Caenorhabditis elegans: one gene and its partners. The protein of the gene in region 3 interacts with the protein of the main gene of each other region in a pairwise test. Each region holds a gene or a part of one and is shown on either strand. Other genes may lie near its edges.

The links.
Region 1: the proteins of K02B7.3 (region 3) and F17E9.5 interact in a two-hybrid assay, tested with the Caenorhabditis elegans proteins (one large-scale study listed by BioGRID).
Region 2: the proteins of K02B7.3 (region 3) and C36H8.1 interact in a two-hybrid assay, tested with the Caenorhabditis elegans proteins (one large-scale study listed by BioGRID).
Region 4: the proteins of K02B7.3 (region 3) and Y38C1AA.7 interact in a two-hybrid assay, tested with the Caenorhabditis elegans proteins (one large-scale study listed by BioGRID).

The regions. Positions count from the first base shown.
Region 1 is NC_003282.8:8,343,823-8,348,751, forward strand, and holds F17E9.5 (DUF7087 domain-containing protein), read left to right. Parts: upstream 1-1,995; 5' UTR 1,996-2,060; coding exon 2,061-2,141; intron 2,142-2,274; coding exon 2,275-2,682; 3' UTR 2,683-2,724; downstream 2,725-4,929. Other genes in the region: lgc-5 (Neurotransmitter-gated ion-channel ligand-binding domain-containing protein), read left to right, coding at 44-137, 185-296, 341-470, 511-663; F17E9.18 (Neuropeptide-Like Protein), read right to left, coding at 3,069-3,218, 3,269-3,325; F17E9.15 (uncharacterized protein), read left to right, coding at 3,601-3,657, 3,706-3,906; F17E9.4 (TransThyretin-Related family domain), read left to right, coding at 4,565-4,734, 4,783-4,885.
Region 2 is NC_003282.8:12,742,063-12,747,763, forward strand, and holds C36H8.1 (Major sperm protein), read right to left. Parts: upstream 2,752-5,701; 5' UTR 2,677-2,751; coding exon 2,488-2,676; intron 2,385-2,487; coding exon 2,127-2,384; intron 1,995-2,126; coding exon 1,577-1,994; intron 1,424-1,576; coding exon 1,032-1,423; 3' UTR 975-1,031; downstream 1-974. Other genes in the region: inx-6 (Innexin-6), read left to right, coding at 4,555-4,632, 5,547-5,671.
Region 3 is NC_003280.10:14,693,223-14,698,501, forward strand, and holds K02B7.3 (DUF148 domain-containing protein), read right to left. Parts: upstream 2,080-5,279; 5' UTR 2,064-2,079; coding exon 1,977-2,063; intron 1,695-1,976; exon of another isoform or gene 1,656-1,694; coding exon of another isoform or gene 1,602-1,655; intron 1,427-1,601; coding exon 1,154-1,426; 3' UTR 970-1,153; downstream 1-969.
Region 4 is NC_003282.8:156,466-161,156, forward strand, and holds Y38C1AA.7 (DUF7087 domain-containing protein), read left to right. Parts: upstream 1-2,496; 5' UTR 2,497-2,562; coding exon 2,563-2,643; intron 2,644-2,918; coding exon 2,919-3,317; 3' UTR 3,318-3,371; downstream 3,372-4,691. Other genes in the region: gegf-1 (EGF-like domain-containing protein), read right to left, coding at 1-74, 606-694, 1,290-1,425; Y38C1AA.19 (RING-type domain-containing protein), read left to right, coding at 3,699-3,747, 4,585-4,691.

The DNA of each region.
Region 1 (4,929 bases), on a different chromosome or scaffold from region 3:
GAATGAATAATCTTAAAAGGAGGTTGTTAATTCATGTTTTTAGGTTGAGCTGTGCTTGAATATGTTTGCTGCAATTTCAATGATGCTTCAATTAGTTTCCGATATGATGCCCAAAGCCTCGCGTCTTCCATTACTAGGTAAATGAAGTCTAATTATTTTTATCCATCTATTATTTTAAATGTAGGCAACTATATTATTGCTGAAATTTTTGTGGTTACTGCAGCTACAATTGCTGCAATTGTTATTCAACATGTTCATCATCATGTTCACACAAATGCAACGTGCCCTCCAAAATGGTGAATATATGAATAATTAATTAATTATCTCTACTTTTTAATAGGTTACGATGTCTCGTACTATGTGATTGTATGAGGGAAGAATTCCCTTCTAAAACCAGTTCTGTATCCAGTATGGATGTTCCCGAGAACATCATTGCGCCTGTTTCTCTTCTGAAGTCGTCATTACATAAGGTAAACCACCATGATTTGAACATTAATTGATATATTTTAGACTGCGTTTCTTGTTCGTGACACTCTGCAAGAAATGTCTCGCATTAATGAAAATCAGTTGCTCTGGCTCAAAATTCTGGATAAAACTGATCTAATGTGTCTTATTCTGTTTCAAGTTGCCAATGTTGTAATAACAATTGTATATTGGAAATAAAAATCAAAAATAACTTTCAATAAATTTATATTTACCCGTTTAAAAAATTTGATCAATTCATAGGGATAGATAGTCCTAGTGGCAAAAATTGGGTACTTGTTTGACAGTAAATTAAAAAATATTTAAAACGTCTCTAAAGCACCCTCAAAACAAATGATCGGTTTTAGTGAAGAATAATTTATATTAACAACTTTCCTGCGCGAGAACATGGAATGTTTGGACTTTTTTAGAGTATTGTTTTCTGCGGGGTTGACAAATTTTCAAGAGTCCCTAGGCCTTCTACAGTGCCGGCCATAATTCTATCCAATTTTAGTTTTTTGACAATAACTTGTTTCAAAGTGATTCGTTTGAGTTGAAAATTCACTATAATATGAAAATGATCAAAACATAACTATTACTGCAAGAATTATAAAAAAAGCAAAATTTAAAAAAATTTCGGGGAATTTTCAAAAATTCGAAAAAGTGAAAATTATCTAAATTCTGAAAATAGGTTCTTTGTGAACTGGATCGGTTTTATCTGTCTACGAAACTGTCATTAAACTAGTAAATGAATCTTTGTGAATTTATTTTTGGCAATTAAAACTTAGGTGTCACGTGACAACAGACCATAAGCTTACCTGCAACTTGCAAGTGCTTGAAAATGGAAGAGTCTTTCTATTTTCAGTCATTGTGGCTATGAAATCAGTCTCATTCATTTTTAAATTAGGTTTTCTACATTGTTCAAGACTATTCTATTGATTTTGTATAATGTTTCTATCTATCTCGCTGGATATAAGCATCGCAGAGACACTCAGTGCTTACCAAGTATGTCAATTTTTGTCTTTGCCGCCTTGGTAAAGCTACCCTAACCCCCTTTTTTTCTAATGTGTGCAAAAAGTCAAGCAGTCAGAGTGAGGGATGGTAAAGCTATCGCACCTGCAGCAAACTAACTTCAAAATAAATTATGGTTTTATAAATTAGGGTAAATTAGGTTTTGGTTTTCTCAAATGTTTTTTTTCCGCAAACGTTATTGGATTTGGCCTATATATATTCTCCAGGCCAACTAGAAAGCATTCAGCTGGCTAAAAACACGCGGTTATCGGTATATTCATAATTGAACAAGGCTTCCCTCAAGTGACTAAAAAAGCTTGTTTAATTACATGAAACGGATGAACTAGAAATTCTTTAATTTCTTTTTCGATGACCGTGATGTTTTACTTTATTTCAAAAATAATTCCAAAAAACATCCAGAAACTTTTTTATAAAGGTTGTTTTTTCTCCGCTTCAACCTCGACCTTTCTTTATCTCCACGGTCAATCTGCCCTAGATCCGTCCGTATAAAAGATCGGAAAATGTGTAATTCAAATCAGTCTCTGCTCGAATCACCGATTCTCTACTCACTCGACTACTTCTCTGCAATGGATCAAATCCCACCGTACGAGTTCAATAAGTACGTGCTCTACGCTCGTGGTGCCGTCATCGTGTGTGCTTCATTTGAGGTTCGTTCTGTGCCGTTCGTGGTCCTCGGAGGACTGGTCCTGGTTTTTAAGGGCTGGCCTCTAAAGACTTGTCCTGGCTCTTGGTCTTTTGCCCGTTTTCCAGAATGTATAGAACATCATGAAATATTTGCAGCTCCTGATGGTTCTGTTCGGTTCCCTCGGCGATTGCAATTTCCTTGCCAAGCTATTCTACTTCATCTTCCTCGGTGGAGCAGTTGCCGTCTCATCGCACAACATTGCTCTCAACATTGATGGTCGCGAGGAGATCAACAAGGTTCTTACCTCGTCTGACAATGAAGTTCGTGGAAAGTCTGCCGCATTGGTTCTTGTCCCAGCTCTTGCTGGTATCTTCGTCTTCTTGTGTGTTTCTGGGCATGCATTCTTCTCACTTTTCGTGCTCATCCACGTGCTCGCCGCTGTTGGACAACTCGGAATTGAAGCTTATGAGTTCAAGAAGGGACAATCTGGAGCTCCAGCACAAGACCCAGCCGCCACTGCACCACCAGCCCAGGATCCAGTTGCAGCTCCACCAGCACAGTAGAAAGAATACTTGGGGGTTTTTGAAATAAAAGTTTTTACTTGCTCTTTTTGATCAGGAATGTAATCTGCAAATTCTGCTAGACTCGGTCGCCAAAAAACCTGGAAAAACTAAGTGCTCTTTTCTACTGTAGTTTCAGAAGAGTGAGCATCTTGTTGTAAGAGTAATATTTTGTTGTGGTTAGTCCGAAGAGAGGCTTCTGTGATTACTTAAAAACTATCGTAACTATCAACTTTTTGAGCAAATACTGGGTTATTGGAGTACTTTAGTATGATTGCTGTTCGTTTCGCTGGGTTATTTCAAGGATTCTCGCAAACTGGAATAATTCAAACACTTTCTAAATGCTCAATAATCTTTATTATTAGTTCCAACTCCAACAAGAGAAACATTCATTTTCTTCCCCATCCAAGTGGAGTCGGTGGACGATAGATGGTATGTCTTGCATTTGCAGATGGGATGAAATTGAATGAACTTGGCTGAGGAGCTCTTCTAGCTGGGTTGAACAGTGATGGTAGAATTTGATTAGTTGGAATGAATTGCTGTAAAGTATTATACGTTTCTTTTGCTTGAAAGTTTGAAATCAGCCTACCGCGGAAACCGAGAAAATGGCGAAAGCAAGGAAGATGCAGGCGGTGAACAGTTGCATTATGAGATGCGCTTTTTGGACTTCACCGAAAAATGGTAAATTTATATGAAAACATTTACGAGCTCCCTCCGATTGTAGTGTTCAAAAACATAACAGGTTTCATAAAATATTCTGACCCCTCCGACAATCGAGAAAACTCTAAACATTTTAACTACACCCCTTTGATTTTTTTGAGAAGAAATCAAATTTTGCAGTGGTTTTTTCGGAGGGACCTCATCAAACTGGGAATATAAAAGAACGCGTTTTGTGTAGTATCATTAGCAAAGTCTTTGAAAATGCAAATATTCAATGCCTATATCTTCCTTGTCTTCACAATTTGCTCAGTTTCTGCGGTAAGTTTTAAATGATCAAACTCAAATAATATTATATTATTCAATCAGCAATTCTATCCATGGTCAATGGCTTTTCAACCAGTTGATCACATTGAACCATCAATCTTCAATCCAATTCCACAAGCTCCAGAGCCAAATTTGTTCAATTTCATTCCATCTGCAGTTGCACAGCATACTATCTGTGCATACTATATATCAATCGTCCACCAACTCCACTTGGTTGGGGAAGAAAATAAATGTCTCTCTTGATGAAATATATAATAAACATATTCAAGCATTCAGAAAGTCTTTATTTTATTGCACACTCCCCCTAATGTAACAAGTTTAAACCGTTTTACAGTTGTTTTCATCCTATTACGACATTGTTAATACATTTTTTAACATTATAAACTGGAATTTCTGACATGTGTAGTGTTCGTAAGTGTAAGTGTTCAATAAGTAATCACAATTAAAAGTATCTACGAGCAAGATTTCAAAATTATCAAAAACTTTGAATATTATGTTTATATTTCTTGTACGTTCTTTCTAAACTCTGTGCCTATTGGTCGGCCCAAAACAAATCGTTAAAAAAACAGATGAACACTTGGATAATATAGTTTCAATTGCGAGTCCCTGATGAACCTGTGACTCAAAGTGAAGTTCCTCGCAATCTGCTGACACTCTGAAAAGGGTCGCGGGTCGATCCATGTTTACGCCTAACAAGTTAGAAAGCTACAATTTTTGCGAATCCCATCCAATCATGCAATCTCTGCCTTTGTTTTGTTTTGTTGTCAATGTTCTTGAAATGTGATTTTCTGAAATGTTGTGGAAATCATCATGTGAACGCATCATTTTATTTTCCAATCTCAGTCATCTTTTCCCCGTATAAAAGATTCTTCTAAAGTTTTGTTTCTACATCATATACAAAATGACGGGATTCTCAAGTGTATTCCTAAGCATTCTTTTTTGTATTTTCTTCCCATACGTTGTCTATTCGGCCAGTTCTACAAAATTCAATTTCTCTGGAACAATCACATGTAATGCCACCATGAAAGATTCATTTGTCGAGAAGCTGCAAGTATGGGAACATGATAAAGCGTTAGTTTGAATATAAATTTTTATGAAAATCTATTGAAAATATGTCAGAACACCAAATGATATGATAGGAGAGGTAGCACAATTTATTAAAGACAAATCTGGTTTCTTTTATAAAGTTGACGCAGAAGACAATGGGGATGGACTATTTGATGTAGGTATTGTTGTGATTCTAAAATTTTGCTGTGACTTATAGGA
Region 2 (5,701 bases), on a different chromosome or scaffold from region 3:
CCCTAGAAAAATATTCAGACGAGGCACCACATGGTGTGGATTTTTTAACGAAAATTCAAAAAAACATGTTCTTTCTGAAATTGCCGTAAAATTAAAAATTATTTTAAAAATTCAAAAGTTGTGAAATTTTTTGAATTCAAATAACCTGGATTTTTCGACAGCTTCAGGGCATCGTAACTTGTCTCAACCAGCTCCGAATGATTTTTTGGAGTGATTAACAGTAGTCATACCCTATCAAGTTTATGTTATAACAAAGTCTGATGTATTCTTTGGGAACCTCCCCTTGTTAGAGAACACGAGCTTTTTTAAAGATTGCTCACTTTTCTGAAAAACTGTGCATAGAAAGTTTTTGAAATTACACTAGAAATGTAGAAAAATATCTCAATGACCAACTCGTAAAGTTTGAGAAAAAGTTACCGACCTGTTCTTCAGCTAGAGCGGTTTCAATGGATCTGACTTTCTATTTTCTACTGTGTTTCGTAAACTTTGGCATGTTTCTCGAAAAATGGCTTGGTAAGGGGATCCAAAACCATATATAGAATTATGTGAAACCGATTTTGATGGGACTGGCCGAACTTTATCTATGTATTTGAGGCCATTTAGCATTAACAGATTTTGCACAACATAGGCCCCCACACCCATTGAAGTTCCACAGGGTGGAATGTTTATTTAGACAGAGGTAATCTGGTGGATGCTAAAACACTTTTTTAAATAAAATGTTTATGATGTAAAAAATAAATTTGAAAAAATCCGAAAAAAGGAACAAAGACAGATCTCTAAAAAAAACCTTGTCACATCATACTGACCCATTTTCATTTTCAACCGCATCTCGTAAGGAATGAGAACAAGCAAAATCGGTCGTCTGCCACGGCTCGTTTCTTTTTGCGTCATCCAACAACTATTTTCTCAAGGATTTCGATTTTCTTTGACATTATTTTGTCGGCCAAAAGTAACAACAAAACAAAAAAAAAAAGAAATTCAAATAGCATTTTATACGATGTCTGTAAGCTCTGTAAGTCTGTAAGAGAGTTCTATGGATTGTACTCAATCTTGATATTCTTGCGACGCTTCGAGTCCGAATGCTGGAACATACTCATCGAGAACGCCTTCTCCTTATTGGAATCCGGCAGCAAAACGTAGTCGAAAGCGATACGATCCTTGTTGTACTCAAAATCATTCCAATCAAACTTTTGCACCGACACAGCAATGATTCGTCCTTCTCCGAGTTCCAAGATTCCAAATGCGGGGTAAGCCATGACACGGGGCACCGAGTTTCCCTTGATTGCGTAGGCAATGCGGTGACGGCTGTTGTTGGAAACTCTCATGTGATATGTCAGATTTTCAAAGTCGAATGGAGCATTGAACACAATCTTATCCATCGGGCGGAACAGAACATCATTCAAATTGTGGCCAGGGCTAATAGCTGCAAAAATTATTATTAACTGGTTGAAAGGATCCGCGGTAGGTGTGCCTGCCTTCTTACTCGCCTTCCTTGCCGGCCGTAACATAGTGCTTCGGCAGTAGTCACATGGTCTTGAAGGCAGGCAGGCAGGCTAGCATTTCCCTAATATCATACCTGAATTGAAACCATCAAATTCCGACTTCAAATTGTGGAAGGATGAAGATTGCATTGGGTGTGGTCCGGTTTTGAAACGTTGAGATCCTCCAGCAAGATCCGTGCAACTCTTTGATGGAGATGGAAGCTTCGACGGTGGAGCAGGATCAGATGGTTCGACTGGTGCAGGAGCTGGATCCTGAACCGGAGCTGGTGGTGGGGCAATCTGTTCCACAGGAGCTGGCACTGGTTCCGGAGCTTTCTCAACAGGGACTGGCATTGGAGCTGGTGGTGGCGGTGGTGCTGCTTGCTCAACTGGCTTTGGTGGTTCTTGTGGTGGTGGTCTTGGCGGTGGTGGAGCCGAGATGGCAGTTCTAGTTGATGCGGCGGTTCTTGGTGCGGATCTTTGGCTCATCTCTGACACGTTTTCATTGCTCTTCTGAAAAATCTTATTTAGTGAAAGAGATTATTCGGATTTTCCACGAGCGAAACTTCTCAGCCACCGTACTACCGTATTCTGATAAGGTAGCTGAAAAGCTTTGCTGGTGATTGGACCCAACAACACTCGTACCTGCTTCTTGAGTTGCTCTCGAATGAATTCATTAATCTTCTGATGCATGACGTATGGTGGCAGGTACAGCAGTGCAAAAAGTGCCAACTTAATCACATAATAGCATGGAATTTTCTCCAAGCTACGATCCAGACACGTCACTGCGCCAAACAACGAGAAGTAAACGAAGAGTGACTCGTCCGTTGGTTTTTCGATCGGAAAGACGAAGATGAGCAATGCTGGGATCGCAACGAGTAGAGCGTTGGCGAAGAAGTGCGCCTGAAATAATATATGAAATTGTAAGCGAACACGGCCACGAAACAAATGTCAAGGTAAGCCCCTTAACAAATCCCGTTCCTCCTGAAAATTAAAACTTCCTTACCTGATCACTGAACGCGAGAATTGCGAAAAGAGCTCCGGCGAGCACTTTGACAACAAGCTCCGCATCCATTCCAGACACATCGACGATTTGTCCGATGCCACGTGCAGTGAAGTGTTTCTTGTTGTGCACTCTTTCACGAATCCATTCCAGCGTTTCACAACAATTTTTGTCGCTTGAAGTTTCCGACATTCCAATTGATCGATAAGATTTTGACGAATCCGAGTAGGGAATAAATCGATTTTTGACAAAAGTGATTGTGGTTAGATTGATTGAATGATAAGAGAATTCAACGTGAATTTCGTGCCACGGAATGTTATTTGGATTCAAAGTTTCTTTTTGGATTTTCACGTTTTTTATAAAATTAACTATAGTAATAAAAACATAATTAACGTGAAGCTCAACAATACTGTATAATTTGTATCGATTTTGCAGTTTGTTAATTTGTACAAGTTTTGACCCTAAATTAGGATTCGAATCAAAACTTCTTATCCATCATGCCATCATAATCTCTATTTGCTCCTCGTTCTAAATGTCTCATTCCTTCTCTTTCACCAATAAAAGAGCATCTCGCGCATCAGTGGCAATGGAAGCGGGGGGCCTTCGAACAATAATCTGTCCGTGTAATACAAAAAATACACATACACAATTCGATACAAACATAGATACCTCCTTTATCGAATGAAGAAAAAAAAAGAGTAAGCAGAAGCTTCTTCATTCAGATAATTACATCAAAAATGATGACCTCCCAGTATGTGTCACTCATTCACTTTGTGGAAAATCCTTTTAGTTCCAATTTATTTTTATACGAAAATGCTGCTTTTCGGTAAACGATTTTAAGTTTTTTGTTTGAAAAACTTTCTTTAAAATTTTTTTTAGAGCTTTAAAAACTGAAATTGTTATACTATTCAGAAGCGTTTAAATGCAAATTTGACAATTTTTGAGCTGAAAATATGGTACCCGGTCTCAACCCGACAAGTTTTTGTAGAATTCAAATAGGTGTGCGCTTTTAAAGAGTACCGTACTTTCAATTTTTTAGGTTGTTCTTGATTTTTCCTTGATTTTTCATAGTTTTTGCCAATTTCCAAAAAAAAAATTTACTAGTTTTCTACAATCAAATACTTTTTATTGAAAACATTGTTTAAAAATCAATGAACTTCCAAAAAAGTGGCAAAAACTGAGAGTTTTCCAATTTTCAAAAAATCATAAAAAATTAAAAAAAACAATTTTTTCGCTATGCTATTTTTTATTGTGGTACCATAGGCAAAACTGAAAACTGAACTGAACCCCACAAAATTCATAAAAATACTGAAAATTTGTGTTTTTCCGTCCGAAAAAAAACCGTGCTTCAAAAAAAAAACTGTACCTGAATCAGTTTTATATATTCAAAACTTCCCAAAAGTTGTCTGAAAACGGGTAGTTTTTTTTTTAAAATTATGTATATCTCATTTCAAAACATGTCCTGATTTAGTTTTTCCCAATGTTTTACGACCAAGTGTTGTTTGATCTACTTAAATCGCGGGATATGACAATTTTTAAGTTTTGTGACGTCATGCTGGCTAACAATGAAACACGTGTGACACACAGTTCAAAACCTAATTTCCAGCAATTTTTTTGGTGAATTGCAGTTTGACCTCCAGAAACCACCATTTTTTGAAAAAAGCTCCTCTGGTCAACCCCAAAAGACCTCCTCCACCTGTACAGTTCAACAAAATCTCAGGTTACCATTTCGCTGCCCCAATTGAAAAGAATCCTGCACTTCTTGGCGCGCTGCTCCGCGAGCATCTTCTTCTTTTCAAACAGTGCATTCGCCTCCCTTTCGAAAACGAATCTTTCTCTCTTCACTCTCCTTAGCTTGTTCACAGACACACAAGTACATATGTACACAACAATAAATACACCGAGTGGTGGTGAGGATGATTGGGAGAGTTGCGCTTTTTCCAACACAACCATCCTCCCACTCCAAATTGTATTGTTTCAATTTTCACCTAACCCCCTTGCCAAAAAAAAAAACGAACCGAAACCTATCAATTTCAGAGCATCTAGAAACATCGAGTGGCAACTCCAGCGATGGCGTCGCAAGTTGGAGCCATTAACTCGGTGAATGCACTCATTTCGAGGGTATTCGTTCAGCCGAAAGGTGATTTGGTAAGTTTATTGTGCTTTTTTCCGAGAGAGGGAAAAAACTGTGAGCCTTCTTGTACACACAATTTTTGATCAGGACCGACTGAGTTTAGTATGGAACCTGGAGCCTGAACTGTGAAGTAATGATTGGAATTGACAACACGTTTTGCTCCTTTTAGGGTCGGCTGAGTTTTTCAGGCTCATATTTTTATTCTTAGGAACTCAGTCTTACTTTTCAGGCAAAAATGTTGGGGCGTATTTTTTAGGTTGGGAATCCATAATCTGTTGAGCTTTTAGTGTAAATTCTGAGTTTTAAATATGATATGATTTTTTAAAGCTCTCCATTTAATATTACCAATAGTATTGTATTGTATTGTATTTATTACGATTCAAATCGTGATCAAAAATAAATAGTGAATAGACATGAATAAGTTAAGGCCCAAACATCATAGAGTAGTAGCCTTTTTTTCTCAGAGTTTTAGCTCCGTTTTTGATAATTCTTGGGTACTGTAGCTTTAACAGTACGCAAACACCGAAAGCCTAACGATAACTTGCACATATCTTGCAATTACGGCCTAAAATTGGGACCCAAGAACCAACTTATGAATATCTATTGTAAAATTTTATATTTCAATGCAACTTTTCAGGATTACTGTACCTATAAAAAATAAGACATTTTTGTAGAAATTTTTAGTTAGTATTGATGGCCAGGGCCGGGGTACTGTAGGATTACTGTAGGTTTAGAGTTAAAAATTGAAAATTTTCATTTCTTGAGTACGGTAGCCTAAACAGTACCGAAACACCAAACGGTTATTGAAATCAAAAATGCTGAAAAAAATAAATTCTGGAACCTCAGTGACGTCACACCTTTCCAAAATTCCACTTTTCCTGAAGAACAAAATTAAGATATTTCTCGAATTTTTAACTTGAATTTTCAGGCCGACCGTCTCAACTCGAGGGTCACAGTTGTGATTCTTGCCGTGTCATCTGCACTTTTATTATCATCTCATTTCATTGGAGATCCGATCACCTGTTGGACACCAGCACAGTTTAATGCTCAATGGTGAGACCTCCTGGGACTTCATACCTCTAA
Region 3 (5,279 bases):
TTTTCATTTTGTTTCATTTTCATAATAAATCGTGTTATTTTTTATGGTTTTATAAAAGTTTAATCCAATATGAAAGCAAAACTAGCTAGCAAGAAAGCATAACTACGTAGCAAAACATCACCGCTAATCAGCGGAAAAGCACAATTACTGCGGTTGACTAAGCCGTGACATAAATGCTAATTAGCAGTGATTTTCTATCGCTCTGCCGTGACTCCAGTCTATCTGAGATGTATTGTAAGCGAAAAATTTGTTTTTTCTTCAGTTTAGTATGTCTGGAAAACTTATAATCTACATACCTACCTAGTTGCTTTATTGATCCGTATCGGTCGCCTTCCATTTAATCTTTCCAGTTTTATTGGTGGTGTATCGGGGAGGAACTGAAATTTTTTATATACGCTTGAAAGTTTAGAAAATTTAAACTCACTTTTGCAACTGATTTGAGACAGGGATAAACAATTTTTGAAGTGTTTTGTTGAAGAATGATTCGAAAATTCGAGCAAGGACATGTCCAATTTTCAACTTTTACTATTAGAACTTACGAAAAAAAAATTTTAAAAAATTCCAAGAAAAATTCCGAATGTCCATTTCTGAACATCCTAAAAATTATCAAAAATCTGAAAATTTCACAGTTGGAGCCTTTACGGGTCTAGAAAATTGTGAAAAAATGCACTGAAACATTTTCAGAGCGACTGTTTTCCAAAGTGCTCCTCTGTCGCTAAATTATTTGTAGAAGGCCTAGCCAGAAGGCTTTTTTCAAATGCCATAAGTTTCAGTCAGAAGCCCTGTATTAAGTTGAAATACTTCCCTTGGTAGACGCACAAACCAAATTTAACAACGAGGCCTCTTGAATTTTCACCAATATTTTATGGATGTTCAAAACTTTAAAATAAAACCGTGCAAACTTTTTTAAAAGAAATCTCATTATGCAACTTGGTTCTGTGGAGTTGTCACAGTTCATATTTGAAATATCGCAAATTTCCACATTTTGAAACTTTTTTGAAACAATTCAATATTACAGAAAAAACATTTTATGCTTGCTTTTGAACAAATACAACTACAATTCGTCATTGGAATAAGGCACATGATAAACGTGGGCTTTGAGTAATGCATAAGAAAAATATGTGAATAAATAAATAATAATTGATTAATTAAATCAATTATCATCTAAAGTCACTTCCTTCTCCTCTTTCGGCTCATTCGTCGTCACATCAGCAGTGGCCGCCTCGTACACCTTCTTAAGCTCCGGAACAATCTCCTCCTTTGTGAATTCGGATGCGGCCTCGTACTTCTCTGCAACCCATTCTCGGATGTTCTTGTGGGTTTCCGGGTCCTGAAGCTTCTCCTTGTACTCGTTGAACTTGTCACGGATTGCTGGAGACGCCGTCTCCTTGAACCATCCGGCGGCATTGTTCAGACCTCCGCTGACCTGCAAGAACGGAAATTCAGAGTTTGCGATGTAATTTTTTGTTTTTGAGAAAAGCTTTGGCAAATAATTCTCAAAACGCTAAGGCACTTAGAGGCATAGGCTGAGGGCAAAAAGGCTTAGCTCTGTAGGCAGGTACATCGTTGCAGATTTTTAATGTTGAAATTACATTATCTACCTGACTGATATAAGCGTCTTTATGATTGTTATAGAAGTTGGTGAGCTTCTCCATCTCGAATTTTGGTCAGATTTTGAAAAAGAAATTCAAAAATAATTGTTTTTTTGTTAAAAAAATACGTGATTGAAAAGTTAGAGAATCCAAAAAAATCCGAAGGCCACGTAAAAATTGAGCGAATTTTTAAATTCTTAAACATTTAGTTACAAAAGTTTGGCACGTGGCTTTTTGTAGGCTTGCCTGTCTATGCCTGCCTTGCCTTTTGGAAATTGTCCAAATCAGTGGGAAGTTAGAAGTAAGTATTAGAACGACCAGACACAAAAAAAAAAGATGGGCAGGCACATAGGCAAGCAGACATAAAGCTTTTTCTTAACCTACCGTATCAGTGAACCCGTCCCACCAATCGGCTTGCACAGAACTGGCGAGCAAAAGTGTGATCAAAAGTGTAAAGACGACTGGACGCATTTTGTGGAGAGTCTGAAAATTTTAAAATTTTAAACTTTATATTTTATTAATGAAAACGAAAAGAGAAAAAGCAGCAGTGTTGCCAGAGTGTCTACAATTCTGGAGAAAAACTGAAATTATATAGTGCTGAGAGGATGAGTCATGTGAAAACGGGGGCCGTTATCATTTTTTATTTGGTGAAAAATTGAGTGAGTGGGCATCATGATCATAACATATTTAACATTTTCTCTTGGCGGCACAAGGAAAGAGCGTAAGAAATTTCTGGGCATTTCTGGAAATTTCAGAAAATTTCAAAGTGGGACATTTTCCAAATAAGAAACGAAGGTCTTGCTAGGCTAGGCAAGTGCAAACTTATGAGAAACAGGAAATAGTAGTTTGATATGCAAATATGTGGGCCCATCACTTCACTTCCTGTTCACCCCCCTTGTTCAATACTATCGACAAACATATCAAATATCACATAACTTTTTCTGAGTAGCGACTCAAAACTAGGTATTCTGTCACTAAAAATAACTCAGGAATACGTTCCAAATTAAAATAATGAGCAAGAGCTTTCAATACAAAACATTGCTCATACCTGAGGCTCAGGAAAAAGAGCAAAGAATTACTGGAGCATTTCTCGTGACTTTGAGAAGCTTCGTCGACAACTTTAGTGTACAAAAATCACAAGGAGGAACTTAGCCAGAGAGATGAAAAAACAATGTGTTTCAAACTATAAAATGTATTCTGAGATGAGTCATTTTTGCTGGCTGTAAAGATAGTTTAGTTTAGTTAATCGTTATTCTCAATTAATGGGAACCGTTAATCATTTTCGAAATTAAAAAAAGGAGTTACGGATCAAAAATGTTTTGCAAAACATACATATTTGTGGAAATTTTTAAAATTAAATTATTGCCATTCTTTATACATATCGTACTACTCAGACATGTACTACGCAGATTTAGATTGTTTTTTTCCAAAGTAGTCAAAAAAAAATAAGGCCAAGAATTTAGCTGAACTGATTTTTTTGGAAACTTTCAATTGCCGTAATTTGTTATTTATGAGTGTATTCAATCAAGAAGAAATTATATTTTATTTTACCAGTTCACAAACTGAGCTACCAAAACGAAATTAAAGACAAGTGAAATACACTTAATGACGCCATAAAATATATTTTGATACATGTCACAAAATTGCATGACTAACCCTATTATTATTTTTAAATATTAAGCTGAATGTAAATTTTATAAATTCAAATGTCTTAAAGAAAAAACCTACATTGAAAGAAAAAGAAGCCTTTTTGAATGAAAATAGGATGAGTCACGGTTTGTTGGCATTAACAATACCAGCAATGTATGCCAAAAAACCTGATCAGAAACTGGCTTTTGGAAAGGAATTTTAGAATTATTTTTTGCAGAAAGATACATTTTGCATTTTCAATTCAAAAAAAACTTGCTTAAAAACCAAAAACGGGGGTTCTCAAAACAAAATGTTTCTATAGAAGTTTGTGTGACTCAGTTATGGAGGTGCAAACTGAGTTCGATTTTGAAATTTTTGTATTTTGAAAAAACTTGATCAACACATCCTAACCTAATTCAAAAAAAAATGTTCCATCAATTCAAAACGGCAAAAAAAATCAGAAAATTTGAGCGTAGTTTTCAGAGAATCTAATGATCGATAGATTTTTCTTATTTTTCTGAACTGGAATTTTTGTAACATTTTTTTCCAATTTTTTGAAACTACTTTATTTTAGACTCTCACAAGCGTAAATTGTTGAAATTTCTCGTTTTTTCGTTGTTATGTAGTTAAATTTTTGCGTTTTCGGAATTTGAAAAGTTCGGGGGCTGTTATTTGACTGCTTTAAAATAATTTTTTAATCCAAAATATAATTTAAAATATACTTTAAAACTACTATCAAGATAGTGACTCTTATAAAAATCATCTAAAAAAGATATCAAAAAGCCTTTTCTCGCCGTCAAAATTGACTTTTCTCATCCAAAAGGACAGGTTTTTTTGCGATTCCCGATGATGAGGCATACGTTCCGCTTTGATCATCGCTCTAAACACACATCATACTAAGCGCAATTTAATCGGTTTAAAATATGATTTTGCAACAAAAAAACAATGAAATTATGAAAATTATTTTTTCAGTTTATCCAGAATACCAACAGTTTGAAGATTGCATGCAGGTAGTGAAAATTTATTGAAAAAATTGTAAAATTAGTTTTTAATTAAGAAACACTAAAATCTTGTCAAGCTTCAAAAATAAATTTCAGAATGTTTAAAATGTCTAGAAATTCTAAAACAGTAAATTCTAAAAAACCGAAAACCCGCGCTTGCCACAATTTCCGATTGCCTGAAAATTTTGGAATTTGGCATTTAATGAGTTTGCCAGAATTTCCGAAAAATTGGAATCTATCAATTTCAGAAATTATCAAAATTGGGAATTTGCCGAAATTGCCGATTTGTAGGCATTTTAGAATTCTTCAAGTGACGAAATTGCCGATCGCCAGAAATTCCAAAAACCGGCAATTGCCGAAAACCAGCACCGAAGTGGAAATGTGCAAGTCTTATTAAGGAAAGTACGACAAAAAACTTCTAGCAACCAACAGAAACAAAAAATATATATATTTCCAAATAGATCAAGCAAACGAGCTCAAAAAAAGAAAGAGAAATTCAAAAATCTGTAACACTACAAAACAACTGAGAGCAACTGAACGCATTAGCCACCCATCGATTGTGGACAGGCTAAGGAACAAGAGAGAGTCGATAGCACAAGACTTAGAGGCAAAAGGGTTGGTGTAATAGGGTCTGCAGGAGTGTAAAGAATACATCAGGTACCCCCTCCACTCAATTTGAAGAACAATTATTTCATTAGCTGAGTGAGTAGTTAAGTGAATAAGAGAGAATGAGTTGAGTCATCTATTTTATGAGTTACCCCACAGCAGGTTCCGAAGGTCACCGGTGCTCTGTGGGAAGTCGAAGTCGTTGGGTAATAAGGAGAGACTCTAGGAAGGGAGTAATATATCAAATGAGACAATAAAAAGGATCTGACCTGGCACTCTGCCAAGAAATGATATTTTATTTTATTTACAGATCTACTTTTTTTTTGGTTCAAAGTGCCCGGATGCAGCTAAATTTCGTATAGTACCCTATTTAAAAGGTGCTCTTTGAAATGAAGTAGGTTTCATTCCAAAGTCCAGAAATAAGTTTAAGTACCGTGTAAGTTGGTTAATT
Region 4 (4,691 bases), on a different chromosome or scaffold from region 3:
TCGAGGCTTGAACGGGATAGGAGACTGTTCTCTTCTTCTTCACGTTCTCGAGCAGTTTCTTTCAGACTTTCTACCTGAAAGTGGTCAGAATCAAAACTTGAAATGTTTCAAACATTTTCAGAGTGTGTAAGAAATCTTCAATTATTTTTTTCAGAAATTCCAATTCAAATTCTAGAAACTTTCTGAAATTTTCACGGGATTTTAAAAATTACCAGCTTTCCTAAAAGTTTACAGAAAATTCTTTTAAAAAATTCAAAAACGTTTGGAGGTTTTCAAAAGATCCCTAGGTTTTAACTTTTTCTAGGAGTTTTTTTTTATTTTTAAATTTTACCAGAAGCTTCTAAAGCTTCTAAAAATGTTTCAGAAATTTTCAAAAGGTAAAAAAAATTCAAGCAGTTTTCAGAAGGCTCTAAAATTATCTGGTTTTTTTTCTTCTAAATTTTCCAAAAGACGTTCTAAAAGCTTCCAGGTTCTTGAGCTTCCAGAATTTTTATAAATTTCTAGCACGTTCTATCTAGTTTTATACAGAAGTTACTAGAACCTCTGCAGTGTCAAAAACTTATCAGAAAAATTTAAATTTTAAATTTTGCGCCAAAAAAACCGACCGCCTTGTCGAGTTCAGCCTTCACTTCCTCTTGAATATCATTTGCATCAACTTCCCTCTTTTTGTCAGTTTTTTCTTCGGCTTCCACATCTAAATAAATTATTTACTGTGAGGTAGAGAAAATAAAATTTCAAAATAAAATTATCCAACAAAAAAACTAGATAACTTTCAATTTGAAAAGTTCGTAAGTTCACTCCGGGAGATAATTGATGTTGAAAAGGTATTTGATATACGATCCTTTAGTAATTGTAATACATCAAATAACTGGTACACGTCATTTCGAAAAATAAACCATTGAATTACCTGATTCTGAAAAATTTTCTATAAAAATTTTTGAAGAAGTTTCTGGAAGCTAAACGATTCTAAAATTTTCCCGATTAGAAAAGAGGATCTAATAAAGTTCTAGAGGATTCTAAAATATTTTGAAGTTTATTGAAAATTTCTAAAAACTGCCAGGTGGTCTCTAGCAATGTTGAGAACTTTTTTTAAAAACTTTCTGGACTGTCCTAAGAAACTAGAACATTCTGAAATTTTCTGATACTTCTTGGATTTTTTTGGAGCACTGTGAAAATTCCAAAAAAATTCTGAAACTTTCTAAAACTTTCTGGGACTTTCCAAAATGTTTTCTAAAAAATTCTAAAAAAATTCTAATATTTTCTTAACTCATCTTTATTATATATTTTACCTGAAATTTCAACTTCTCCTGAAATTGTCTTATTTCCCACATCGTCCACTTCAATCACGTGCACTTTTTCGGCATGAATCCACGTGACCAAGACCAGGAAAATTCCAAAAATTGTCGCGGAGGTTTTAACAAACATTTTTTTTATCTGAAAGTTGATTTCTTGGAACTTTTCATGATGACAATTGACAAAAAAGTGGTAGATATTATTCCCAAAACACTATACATATTAGAATACAAAATCTAAACAAAAAAATAACGACACAAACACAAAAGTAACAATTTGGCGTGGTTACGTAACAGTTTTGTGCCCCTATTCCACCTTTGCCCCGTGAGGGTGGGCCGGTTTTAGGGGGATAAATTAGGGAAAAAAGTCAGGAAGCGTGTCGAAATCGGCGAGATCCAAAAAACCAGATGATTATATAATAGGAGGGGTGGTTGTTTCGAGGATACTCTTTTGGTCAGATTTATTGTATTTTAGTTAGGCTATATACTTGATGGCTAAAGTAGTTCTGAAGATGGTTCAGAACAATAGGAACAATTGTCGAAAAGTTCCAGTTTCTAGCATTTCGGCTAGTAAATTGTTGGTGTTTAACAGTAACAAAATAGTAACTTGTGGAAAAAACCAACCGATGGAAGTGATTTCGTGAGCTACAAACTACAATTCTACAAACTGCAATTTTCACAGATTTCGAAATATAATATTACTATAAACTATACCCATGCAATCTAGAATTTTCAGATTAAACAAATTAAACCAAAACTGTTACGCGAGTTACAGATTGAATACTACCAATTAGAAATTAGAAACTGTAAACTACAAACCACAAACTACAAACTACAGACCTGAAGTTGATAACTATAGAGTTGAGACAAGAGACTGAAACGTGCAACTCCACTTCAAAAACTTTTCCTAACAACTGAAATCTATAAAGTTGAAGCTACGGAAGTGCAAACTACAAACTACAAACTAAACTATGAAAGCGTACCCAATACATTGTTTAATATGTCCTAGAGTTCCTGAAAATGGCAGAAAACTAGGAATTCAAAAATGGCCGTGAAACAAAAAAGTTATAATTTTCAATTTTTTAATTTTTTAAAGGGTTTTCAAAAAATAAAATAATTTCACGCATCGGCCCGACAATTCCCTATCGCCACGTTTAATCTGCCCCAGTTTCGTCCGTATAAAAGCTCGAAAAAATGTGAAATCAAATCAGTCTCTGCTCGAATCATCACCGATTTTCTACTCGCTCGACAACGATCTCTCGCAGCTACAATGGATCAAATCCCACCATACGAGTTCAACAAGTACGTGCTCTACGTCCGTGGTGCCGTCATCGTCTGTGCTTCATTTGAGGTATGTTTGGGGATTTCTGGGAGGTTTTGTAAAGATCTCGCCCTGACCAGGTCTTTCCTTGGGGATTTTAATACAAGCGTAGAAGATTTTCTGTGTGGGCAATGAAGGGTAATTGCCGGTTCGCCGAATTTCCCGATAATTTGAAAACGGCAATCTGTCGGCTTTGCCGTTTGTCGGAAAACTCCATTTTCGGCAATTTTCAGCATTCCGAATTTTCCGTTTGCCGGTCATCCCTAAATGTAGCCTTTTTCATCTAAAACCTTTATAATTTTCAGCTCCTGTTGGTCCTATTCGGTTCCCTCGAAGATTGCAACTTCCTTGCTAAGCTCTTCTACTTCATCTTCCTTGGCGGAGCAGTTGCCATCTCAGCTCACAACATTGGTCTCAACGTGGATGGTCGCGAGGAGCTCAACAAGGTTCTTTCATCGTCAGAGAATGAAGTTCGTGGAAAGTCTGCTGCCTTGATTCTGGTGCCAGCGCTCTCCGGTGTCCTCGTCTTCTTATGTGTCTCTGGACATGCATTCTTCTCGCTTTTCGTGCTCATCCATGTGCTCGCCGCCGTTGGACAACTCGGAATTGAGGTTTATGAGTTGAAGAAGGGACAATCTGGAGGTTCTGCACGAGGTGCTGCACCGTCAGCACAGGATCCAGCTGCTGCTCCACCAGCCCAATAGACGAAGAAAATAAATCTGATATAAATGGAATAAATTGGAGTTTTTATTATTATTCTCGTTCAGATTTTTGTTTTGTATTTTCTTGAGATCGAACAGAGGCTCCCTGAAAAAAACGTTACAGGTCAGCAAAATATTTTTCTACTTCCGCGTATTAAAGAATTCTTGTCCGAAATAGAGAGGAAGTTTCGTAACACGTTTCGTAAGATTTGCCGTATATCATCTCGCGTAGTTTCGAGCAATTCTAAAAAATATTGTCAATTTCCATTCAGAATTTCTCAGTTTCCTCAGTTTTCCTAAGTTATTTTCTTATCGGACTCCTTATCAGTCGTCAATAAAATGGTAGGTGCTTACCATTTTTGCATTTTGTAATTTTCTGTAGACATGTCTTTGTGTCGCACATTTTTCTGTGTGAAGTGTTCACAATTCTTCGGTAAGTAGCAATTTAATTAAGTTTTGTTTAACTTATTAAACTTGGTAATATATTGTAGATATTTCATTAAAGGTGGAGTAGCGCCAGTGGGGAAATTGCTTTAAAACACGCCTATGGTACCACAATGACCGAATATCATAATAAAAAAATTCAAAAAAATTTTCCTGATTTTATATGATTTTTTGAAAATAGCAAAATTCTCAGTTTTTGCCTAATTCCTATTTGAATTTCCGCCAATTGAATTTGTTCGATGGAGCGCGCTTGCACGTTTTTAATTTAATTTATTTTATTTTTTGTTATTTTCCACCAATTTTTAATGTTTTCGGTGTATTTTTGCTCGAATTTTAGGGAAAAAGTCAAAATAAATGCAAATTTTCGATTAAAAAGCACGCTTACACGCGTAAATCAGTTAAATTAATTAATTTAGGTTCGAAATCGTTTAAAAGCGTTTCTTTTTCATTTTAACGCTTGTAAGCGAGCTTTTTAATCGAAAATTTGCATTTCTTTTGACTTTTTCCCTAAAATTCGAGCAAAAATACACCGAAAACATTAAAAATTGGTGGAAAATAACAAAAAATAAAATAAATTAAATTAAAAACGTGCAAGCGCGCTCCATCGAACAAATTCAATTGGCGGAAATTCAAATAGGAATTAGGCAAAAACTGAGAATTTTGCTATTTTCAAAAAATCATATAAAATCAGGAAATTTTTTTTGAATTTTTTATCATGATATTCGGTCATTGTGGTACCATAGGCATGTTTTAAAGTAATTTCCCCACTGGCGCCACTCCGCCTTTAATACGATGTTTTACGCCAAACTAAATCAAAATTTTCTAGATGAATCAAATCAACAATCTCGTGTTGGAGTATGCAAACATTCGGTTTGTGAGCAATGCTTTGACCGAAAAATGTCTCCGAATTGTCCGGCTTGCAACAAAATAGAC